Macaca fascicularis: one gene and its partners. The protein of the gene in region 1 interacts with the protein of each later gene in a pairwise test. Links are inferred from orthologs where the notes say so. Each region holds a gene or a part of one and is shown in the gene's direction. Other genes may lie near its edges.

The links. The genes of interacting proteins can lie anywhere in the genome.
Region 2: the proteins of TAF9 (region 1) and KPNA1 interact in binary tests that used the Homo sapiens proteins (3 or more experiments, as listed by UniProt). The link is inferred for Macaca fascicularis from reciprocal best matches to the Homo sapiens genes TAF9 and KPNA1.
Region 3: the proteins of TAF9 (region 1) and COIL interact in a two-hybrid assay, tested with the Homo sapiens proteins (2 studies listed by BioGRID and IntAct). The link is inferred for Macaca fascicularis from reciprocal best matches to the Homo sapiens genes TAF9 and COIL.

Annotation. Positions count from the first base shown.
Region 1 is NC_088380.1:75,038,098-75,041,539, reverse strand, and holds the end of TAF9 (transcription initiation factor TFIID subunit 9), read left to right. Parts: intron 1-663; coding exon of another isoform or gene 664-756; intron 757-1,798; 5' UTR 1,799-1,815; coding exon 1,816-2,610; 3' UTR 2,611-2,820; downstream 2,821-3,442. Other genes in the region: AK6 (adenylate kinase isoenzyme 6), read left to right, coding at 664-756. UniProt on the Homo sapiens protein: The TFIID basal transcription factor complex plays a major role in the initiation of RNA polymerase II (Pol II)-dependent transcription.
Region 2 is NC_088376.1:160,795,237-160,798,889, forward strand, and holds part of KPNA1 (importin subunit alpha-5), read left to right. Parts: intron 1-308; coding exon 309-440; intron 441-1,973; coding exon 1,974-2,062; intron 2,063-2,384; coding exon 2,385-2,484; intron 2,485-3,653. UniProt on the Homo sapiens protein: Functions in nuclear protein import as an adapter protein for nuclear receptor KPNB1. Binds specifically and directly to substrates containing either a simple or bipartite NLS motif.
Region 3 is NC_088390.1:49,770,225-49,773,877, forward strand, and holds part of COIL (coilin), read left to right. Parts: intron 1-602; coding exon of another isoform or gene 603-875; intron 876-2,026; coding exon 2,027-3,131; intron 3,132-3,252; coding exon 3,253-3,339; intron 3,340-3,585; coding exon 3,586-3,633; intron 3,634-3,653. Other genes in the region: small ribosomal subunit protein uS8-like, read right to left, coding at 603-875. UniProt on the Homo sapiens protein: Component of nuclear coiled bodies, also known as Cajal bodies or CBs, which are involved in the modification and assembly of nucleoplasmic snRNPs.

The DNA of each region.
Region 1 (3,442 bases):
GCATGAGCCACTGCGCCCAGCACGAGGTGGCTAATTTTATTCTGAGTAGTTCCATGGTAGCAGCAGGCAGTTTGAATTGGCGTCAGAATTTGCTGAGCCCCACCCCTGGAGAATCAATACACTGGGTAATATTCTGACATTCAATTAGCTTTGGAAAATTTTTATTAGATCGAAGTACATGCTGATTTACATATGGCCAGGCATGGTGGCTCACGCCTGTAATCCCAGCACTTTAGGAGGCCTAGGCGGGCAGATGACATGAGGTTAGGAGTTTGAGACCAGCCTGGCCAATATGGTGAAACCCTGTCTCTACTAAAAATACAAAAATTAGCTGGGCATGGTGGTGGGCACCTGTAATTCCAGCTACTCAGGAGACTGAGGCAGGAGACTCGCTTGATCCTGGGAGGTGGAGATTGCAGTGAGCCAAGATCGCACCACTGCACTCCAGCCTGGGTGACAAGAGCGAAATTCCGTCTCAAAAAAAAAATTTTTTTTACATGTTATTGCTAATTAGGAAATTTTTCATTTCAGTCATCAAGATCTTTAAGGGCAGAGGCCAGGTGAGACTCTGCCTCAGAAATAAAAAAAGGAAGGGCACAAGGTGGGCTGCAGTGTGATAAGTAGTATTTCACAAACAGTATTTTTCTGTGGCTTGTCTTACAGGTACACCAGGGGTTGGAAAAACTACACTAGGCAAAGAACTTGCGTCAAAATCGGGACTGAAATACATTAATGTTGGTGATTTAGCTCGAGAAGGTAAGGGACACTTTGGTGTTAGATTTGTTTTGTTTTGTTTTGTTTTAAGTCTGATAGTGGAGTGTTAGTGCTGGGTATTGTCAGAAGGTACAAAAAACAGATTGCCATTAAAGAATATATACTCTTGCCTGTAATCCCAGCACTTTGGGAGGCCGAGACGGGCGGATCACGAGGTCAGGAGATCGAGACCATCCTGGCTAACACAATGAAACCCCGTCTCTACTAAAAATACAAAAAAATTAGCCGGGCGAGGTGGCGGGCGCCTGTAGTCCCAGCTACTCGGGAGGCTGAGGCAGGAGAATGGCATAAACCCGGGAGGCGGAGCTTGCAGTGAGCCGAGATGGCGCCACTGCACTCCAGCCTGGGCGACAGAGCGAGACTCCGTCTCAAAAAAAAAAAAAAAAAAAAAAGAATATATACTCTTTTAGGGAATCCACAGAAATATTAAGTGTCTAATGCTATGTCCTGGTTATTTTGAGCATTTTCCCTTCCTCCTTGAAAATGGCTAGCAATTCTTGTGAATAGTTGGGAAGGCTCCTATGAAGAGACTGGATTTCGGAGAGGTAGAATGTGAATAAGGAGAATGTTTTCAAGTTGAGCAAACAAAGGTTTGGTACTGCTGAACATATATATGAGCACAGTGAGTGTATTGGTCTCACTGGAAAGAGATTGTTTTGAGCTCAGGTGTAGGACATGACTATGCTGTGGTATCTTAGTGTGAGGTTTGCATGCAACTGCATATATTCTAAGATGATAGATGTTTTTATTTATTTTACCCTGTTTTCCCCTAATCTTTTATCACTCCCTTATTTGTGTCTTCATCTTTTTATAGTTGACAATGATTTGTACATGGTAGGAACTCAATAAATTAAAGAGATTTTAAGTATGCCTCATTAAAATTAAGAAAACATATGGTTTAAATTTAAAAAATTTTTTTACAGTTTAACATAGATTAAAAAAATTTTTAAGTTCCTGACAGTTGCTACTAAAGTAACTATTTCAGATTGATCTAATGTACATATTTTTTTCAAATGATCTAAAGTCTGATCATCGGATATCATGGAGTCTGGCAAGATGGCTTCTCCCAAGAGCATGCCGAAAGATGCACAGATGATGGCACAAATCCTGAAGGATATGGGGATTACAGAATATGAGCCAAGAGTTATAAATCAGATGTTGGAGTTTGCCTTCCGATATGTGACCACAATTCTAGATGATGCAAAAATTTATTCAAGCCATGCTAAGAAAGCTACCGTTGATGCAGATGATGTGCGATTGGCAATCCAGTGCCGCGCTGACCAGTCTTTTACCTCTCCTCCCCCAAGAGATTTTTTATTAGATATCGCAAGGCAAAGAAATCAAACCCCTTTGCCACTGATCAAGCCATATTCAGGTCCTAGGTTGCCACCTGATAGATACTGCTTAACAGCTCCAAACTATAGGCTGAAATCTTTACAGAAAAAGGCATCAACTTCTGCGGGAAGAATAACAGTCCCGCGGTTAAGTGTTGGTTCAGTTACTAGCAGACCAAGTACTCCCACACTAGGCACACCAACCCCACAGACCATGTCTGTTTCAACTAAAGTAGGGACTCCCATGTCCCTCACAGGTCAAAGGTTTACAGTACAGATGCCTACTTCGCAGTCTCCAGCTGTAAAAGCTTCAATTCCTGCAACCTCAGCAGTTCAGAATGTTCTGATTAATCCATCATTAATTGGGTCCAAAAACATTCTTATTACCACTAATATGGTGTCATCACAAAATGCTGCCAATGAATCATCAAATGCATTGAAAAGAAAACGTGAAGATGATGATGATGACGATGATGATGACGATGACTATGATAATTTGTAATCTAGCTTTGCTGCATGTAACATGTATACTTGGTCTTGAATTCATTGTACTGATATTAAACATGCATGCTGGATGTTTTCAAGTTGTGTTTTAGAAAACTTTAATAATAATTAATGAGTAAATACAGTTACCATACTTTTCAATTGAAATGAAGGTTTTTCATCAGCCTTAAAAGTGTAAGAGAAATAAAGTTGTCATTCATTACTTTGATTGTTGGTGCTTTGGCAGTTATGTTTTTAAAAGCAATTTTCTCCCTGTTGTCACCAAGGGGAGTAACAGTTGACAGTTGCAGCAACTTGCAGTACTGTAGTCTATTGTTGACCACTAGAATGTCACCTCAAGTGTCTTCAGATATATAGATCACAGTATGATCTCTGGTGTACGTCACTCTTGTGATCTGTTCTCTCAGTTGCTGAAGTATAACCGTGACTCCTCTTTGGAGAGACTAGTTGGTCAGGATTTTTATTCATAGTGAATTCTTAACCTGCTTTGATTATCTTCCTCAATTGTCCAACTTCCTAGGTCCCATTTTTCTGTCCCTTTGGTTATATTAAGGACCCTTAGTGTCTCCCAGTATGTCTCCACTTTTAAAAAAAAAATTTATCAGTGTCTCTTTTTGCAGGTTAATTTTGAGCATCTTTGTTTTTCATATTCCTGATACTATAAGCCAGTATCATGTTCATTTTTGATCCAGGGCTGATGATTAGGTTATAGTTTATATTTTTTTAATTTTTAAAATTTTTTTGTCCAAAAGAACATCAATTTATCAAGGTTATAGTTTCTGAAACCTAGATCTTTATTTGCTATCATACAAATACTCATTTTCCATTTC
Region 2 (3,653 bases), on another chromosome or scaffold:
GTTTGCATTTTGTTTTCATGTATATCTTGGGAGATCATCCCATATCAGCATATGTAACACTCCCTCATTCTTTTTATGGCGTCATGTTTACTCTTTCTTGAACTGAAATTTTAGACACCCTGAATATTCTTCTAGGTTGAGGTGTCTCTTCTGGATGTTCTTTTAAAATTAATAAAGTACTCAACTGATAGGCTACGTGCAAATAATGATCTCAGAATCTTTTTTTCATGTACAGAAAATGTTACTGTTATAAGTAAATAAGCTTTTACATTCTAAAATGATAATGAAAATTATTTTTATCTTTATAGTTTGAATCAGCTTGGGTACTGACAAATATTGCTTCAGGAAATTCTCTTCAGACCCGGATTGTGATTCAGGCAGGAGCTGTGCCTATCTTCATAGAGTTGCTCAGCTCAGAGTTTGAAGATGTCCAGGAACAGGTAAAAATGAAACAAAAGGAAGCAGCTGAAAGAAATTTTTCGGCTGGGCACGTCGCTCATGCCTGTAATCCCAACATTTTGGGAGGCCGAGGTGGGTGGATCACAAGGAGTTCGAGACCAGCCTAGTCAACATGGTGAAATCCTGTCTCTACTAAAAATACAAAAATTAGCTGGGCGTGGTGGTGTGTGTCTGTAATCCCAGCTACTTGGGAGGCTGAGGCAGGAGAATTACTTGAACCCAAGAGGCGGAGGTTGCAGTGAGCCGAGATCGCGTCATTGCACTGCAGTTTGGGCAACGAGAGCAAGACTCCGTCTCAAAAAAAAAAAAAAAAAAAAAAAAAAGAAACAGTATTTCCCTTCAGTCATAATAAGGGGCTGAGTTTTGCCAGTTGGCTTTGGTAATCTATGGATTGTCACAAAGGAGTGTTCTAGAAATTTAGTCTTAATCAAATAGAAAATGTCTTAGTGACTGTAGGCGGAATTTCTCTTAGACACAAAATAATCTTCCCCTTCCAAACCTGACATTCTTTAAGCCATGTATATGTACTTTTTTAGACCATGTAAGCAGTTACTGATAGAGGTTTTTTCTTGTAGAAATTTCAAGTGTTGAAAGTAGACCAGTTGCTGTGGCTCATGCCTGTAATTCCAGCACTTGGGAGGCTGAGGTGGGCAGATTGCTTGAGCCCAGGAGCTCGAGACCAGCCAGGGCACCATGGTGAAACCCCATCTCTACAGAAAATAAAGTAGGTGGCCATGGTGGCACACGCCTGTTGTCCTAGCTGTTTGATAGGCTGAGGTGGGAGGGTTCACTTGAGCTCCAGGAGGTGGAGGCTGCAGTGAGCCGAGATCACACCACCATACTCCAGCCTCGGTAACAGAGCGAGACCTATCTCAAAAAAAAGAAAGTGGCTAGTCTTTGCTACTTTTGTGCAGAAGGGTACAGAAAACAAACTTCTTTTTGTTCACTGTTTTCTTATGTAAGCAAGAAAATTCTCTTTTTCTTGCTTTCTTGCTTTACTTTGCTTTTCTTTCTTTCTCTCTTTCTCTCTCTCTCTTTCTTTCTTTCTGTCTGTCTTTCTGTCTGTCTGTCTTTCTGTCTTACAATCTCTGTCACCCAGGCTGGAGTGCATTGGCTCAATCTTGGCTCACTGCAACTCTGTCTCTCAGGTTCAAGCAATTCTCATGCCTCAGCCTCTCGAGTAGCTGGGATTACAGGCGCCTACCACCACACCTGACTAATTTTGTATTTTTAGTAGAGATGGGGTTTCACTGTGTTGCACTCCAGACGGGGTGACAGAGTGAGACTCTGCCTCAAAAAACAAAAACAAACAAAAAAGAATTAGTTCTTTCCTTTAATAAACTGAAAACCTCTGTTTATTGTATACTCTTGGATACTACTTATCTTCCCCCCCCAATCCTACAACTATTTCATTTGACTCGCCAATGAACGTGTTATTGTGGTATACTGGCATCTGAAAGAATTATGAGGGAATTAAACTATGTAGCCTTTATTAATGAATGATTCTTTCACAGGCAGTCTGGGCTCTTGGCAACATTGCTGGAGATAGTACCATGTGCAGGGACTATGTCTTAGACTGCAATATCCTTCCCCCTCTTTTGCAGTAAGTTTCTTCTTCCTTCTTCCTTTTTGAGAATAAAAATGTAAGAGATTCCTCAGAAAGCATTACATCTTTGGAAATCATTTTGGATTTTCTAGTGTTATTTTTTATTCCAGATATTTTCTTGTATAGATCATTTCCTCCAGCACCCTATCTTTTTCCGTGCCAAAATTCTGAATTACTTGCATCAGAATTAATGAAGTTTTAATGTTTTGGAGAAAAGCTGTCTGAAGACATCTCTTTATCAAAAGTATTATTTAGTATTTATGTCATCAGATAATCACTGTCTGTTATATAGTTTACCATTGTACCATCGTGCTTGTAGGTTATTTTCAAAGCAAAACCGCCTGACCATGACCCGGAATGCAGTATGGGCTTTGTCTAATCTCTGTAGAGGGAAAAGTCCACCTCCAGAATTTGCAAAGGTAAGGACTATGCTTTTGGGACATTGGCAGAAAAATACAATTAAAAGAATATAGCAACCAATAGTAAGGTGAACAGAAAGATAATTTTTGTTAAAATTTAAAATGTTAGAATTTTATCTGTTTTCAGACAAACAGTGTTGTTTTTGTTGGTTTTCTTTATTATTTAAAAAGCAAATTTAAAGCATAACTTGAAGGTGCACATTTACGAAGGGACTGCAAATAAAGCATAGCATGAAGGAAGAATTTGTAAAGCTTATTGAAATTAGGCTGCATACAATTAGTATACTGTATTAAGAGACTATCCTTTCAGTTCTCTTAAAACAATGGTTCTCAAAATGTGATCTGTGAGTTCTCTGGGAGTCCATGAGATTCTTTTTTTTTTTTCAACAGGTTTTTGGGGAACAGGTGGTGTTTAGGTACATGAGTTACTTGTTGAGTGGTGATTTCTGATATTTTGGTGCACCCATCACCCAGGCAGTATATACTGTATCCAGTGTGTAGTCTTTCATTTCTCACCCACCTCCAGTCCTTTCTCCCTGAGTCCCCAAAGTCCATTGTATCATTCTTACGCTTTTGTGTCCTCATAGCTTAGCTCCCACTTAATGAATGAGAACATCTGATGTTTGGTTTTCCAGTCCTGAGTTACTTTACTTAGAATAATGGTCTCCAGTTCCATCCAGGTTGCTGCAAATGCCATTGTTTCGTTCCTTTTTATGGCTGAGTAGTAGTCTATGGTATATATATCACATTTTCTTTATCTACTTGTTGATTGATGGGCATTTGGGCTGGTTCTGTGCATTTGCAATTGTGAATTGTGCTGCTCTAAACCTGTGTGTACAAGTATCTTTTTCGTATAATGGGTAGATACCCAGGAATAGGATTGGGCATCAAATGGTAGATATACTTTTAGTTCTTTAAGGAATCTCCACACTGTTTTCCATAGTGGTTTTACTGGTTTACACTTCCAGCAACAGTGTAAAAGTGTTCCCTTTTCACCACATTCATGCCAACGTCTATTTTTCTTGTTTGTTTGTTTTTTGGTTTTTTGAGACAGTTTTGCTCTTATTGCCCAGGCTTATAGTGCACTCGTATGGTCTTGGCACACTGCAACCTCCACCTCCTGGGTTCAAGTGATTCTCCTGCCTCAGCTTCCCGAATAGCTGGGATTA
Region 3 (3,653 bases), on another chromosome or scaffold:
GGCCAACAGGCATTTTTGAGTACTTACTATTTGCTTAACATCGAGGACACTCTCAAGACTTCCATCATTATCAGACTGCACATTCTAGGATTAACTGTTGTCAGTTGATAGAGGAATGAAGTTGCTTTCCTATAGTGGCATTTTGGATGAAGTAGGGTTATTCAGAGAAACGTAACCAGTAAGAAACACACACACACACACACACACAAATACTCACTCACTCACAGACATGGGATTTATTGTAAGGAATTGGCTTATAGGATTGTGGAGGCTGAGAAGTCCTAAGTTTAGTTGGTAAGCTATAGATCAAGGAGAGCCAGTGGTATATTTCTAGTTCAAGTTCGAGTTTGAAGGCAGGAGAAGACCGATGTCCCAGCTTGAAGAGTCAGGCAGAGAAGCGAATTCTCCCTTACTCCGTCTTTTTGTTCTATTCAGGCCTTCAGCAGGTTGGATGAGCCCCACCCACATTGGAGACAGCAATGTACTTTACTCAGTCTAGCAATTTAAATGTTAATCTCATCCAGAAACAACCTTGCACATACTCCCAGCATAATTTTTTTTTTCCCACTGAGGCAATATATTTGTAAATATGTATTACATCCTTATAAAAAGAATCTCAGGATTTTTCCTCCTGTGTGTTTTTGTCTTGCTTCTTCATGGTATGTGATGCCAGCCAAGGTTGTCAGTACAGTGAAACCAAACTGGTGGGATGGGAGCAGATTATTCTGCCATTTTTCTAGATCTTTGAGTTGCACATCAAATCTGGGGCTGATTACTCCATACTTGTTTAGCCTGCCTATGAGGTTCACAACAATTTTCCCAGCTCTGTGATCACCAGTGATTTCAGACTTGCCAGTGTAACCATGCTTCATCATTATAGTTGGAAACTGGATGATGGGGCTAGGCGCGATGGCTCATGCCTGTAATCTCAGCACTTTGGGAGGCCAAGGCAGGTGGATCACTTGGGCACTTGAGGCCAGGAGTTCAAGATCAGCCCGGCCAACATGGCAAAACTCCATCTGTACTAAAAATACAAAAATTAGCAAGACATAGTGGTGAGCACCTGTAATCCCAGCTATTTGGGAGGCTGAGGCATGAGAATCTCTTGAACCTGGGAGGGAGAGGTTGTAGTGAACTGAGAAATGCACCAGTGCACTTTGCCCTGGGTGACAGAGTTGGGCCTCTGTCTCAAAAAAAAAAAAAAAAAAAAAAAAAAAAAAAAAAATTAAAAAAACTAAAATAAAAAAAAGAAACTGGACAATTACTTTGGAGCTCGGGCTAATAAGAACCTGGCATTTACCTTGCTTTTCAGTTTTGTTGATGCTCTTAAGAGCATCAGCCAGGACATTCATGTGCACCACTGTGGTGGTGTGGAAAGAGCCAGTGTCGTTTTAACCAGATATCTGGACACCCAATAGCCCAGACAAATTGATACATAAAATTAAGCTTCACGGAGTGTCATGGAATTGTACAGATGGCTGTCAATACCCCAGAGAACATAAATTGTTTAGTATTCACCTAAATTAAAACAAGAGTAAAATATTGTTAAAGAAAGCAGCCCACATTCTGAAACAAAATGGATAATCAGCATTATCACCTTTTAGGGTAGGTGACATGCATATCTTAGAAAGATTGTGAGTTTGAAGTTAGACAAACTGAAGTTTGAATTGCCTTTCTGCTACTTATCAGCTCTAGATTTGGGGCAAGTAACTTGTCTGAGCTGTAATTTTGCGATCTGTAAAATTAAAAATACCTACTTCGTGTTGATGTTTAGATTAGAGAAAAACGTATAAAAAATGTTTGGGATGCAGTAGCTATTCAATAAAACTAGTCATTTGAAAGTTGACTGTGAGTAATGCTGTATGGGCCATTTTGCCAGAAAGAGTCTTTTGTCTTTAATTGATATGACATTTTTTCATTGACTGATGGTAATTACATTTTGTAGAGTCATCTCAGTATATAACTATGTCCTGGAGATGTGTTTACAAATTGCTCACTCTAGTTTTCTCTCTTGTTCTGTTGACAGAGTTAAATTAGAAGAGAGAGGAGTTGCTGAGAATTCTGTAGTCATCAGTAATGGTGACAGTAATTTATCTCTTAGAAAAGCAAAGAAGCGGGCATTTCAGTTAGAGGAGGATGAAGAAACTGAACCAGATTACAAATATTCAAAGAAGCACTGGAAGAGGCAAGAGAACAATAACAATAATGAGAAGGTCTTGGATCTGGAACCAAAAGCTGTCACAGATCAGACTGTCAGCAAAAAAAACAAGAGAAAAAATAAAGCAACCTGTGTCACAGTGGGTGATGATAATGAAGAGACCAAAAGAAAATCACCAAAGAAAAAGGAGAAATGTGAATATAAAAAAAAGACCAAGAATCCCAAGTCTCCTAAAGTACAGGCAGTAAAAGACTGGGCCAATCAGAGATGTAGTTCTCCAAAAGGTTCTGCTAGAAACAGCCTTGTTAAAGCCAAAAGGAAAGGTAGTGTAAGCGTTTGCTCAAAAGAGAGTCCTAGTTCCTCCTCAGAGGAGTCTTGTGATGAATCTATCAGTGATGAGCCCAGCAAAGTCACTTTGGAAGCCAGAAATTCCTCGGAGAAATTACCAACTGAGTTATCAAAGGAAGAACCCTCTACCAAAAATACAACTGCAGACAAACTGGCTACAAAACCTGGCTTTAGCCTTACCCCCAGCAAGGGCAAGACCTCTGGAACAACATCTTCTAGTTCAGACTCTAGTTCAGAGTCAGATGACCAATGCTTGATGTCATCGAGCACCCCGGAGTGTGCTGCGGGTTTCTTAAAGACAGTAGGCCTTTTTGCAGGAAGAGGTTGTCCAGGCCCGGGGCCATCATCACAGAGTGCAGGTGCTGCTGGATGGAGGCGTTCTGGCTCAAACGGTGGCGGACAGGCTCCTGGTCCTTCTCCCAGTGTGTCTCTCCCCGCTAGTTTAGGAAGAGGATGGGGTAGAGGAGAGAACCTTTTTTCTTGGAAGGGAGCCAGGGGACGGGGCATGCGGGGGAGAGGTCGAGGACGAGGGCATCCTGTTTCCTGTGTTGTAAATAGAAGCACTGACAACCAGAGGCAACAGCAATTAAATGACGTGGTAACAAATTCATCTACTATTATCCAGGTAAGTATTATTTTTTGTAAGTTACCTCCTCCTTTTCCCCTTAGAATGTGTGTGGAGTTCATGTCATGGGTTCACATTTTCTCACCAGTAATGATGTCACATGACTAACACTGTTTTTCAGAATCCAGTAGAGACACAGAAGAAGGACTATAGTCTGTTACCACTGTTAGCAGCTGCCCCTCAGGTTGGAGAAAAGATTGCATTTAAGGTATATTTCAAAACAACGGTCACAGCAAAAAAGGTTCATTCCCCTTCCAAATAAACTTACTTAACAAATCAGGTTTAAAGTGTTTGTAAAAGCCCTTCCCACTGGAACCGCAGTGTTGTCATGGGTTCCTGGTAGGGCTCCCAGACTGGTGGGGGGGACACCCCAGCATGGCATGATGGAGGAGCTGTGGGAATGTGAGAGGATAAGAGGGCTTATGTATTTGTGGGTTTTTTTCTTCTTTTTTAGCTTTTGGAACTAACATCCAGTTACTCTCCTGATGTCTCTGACTACAAGGTAAGGATGTTTATTTAAAA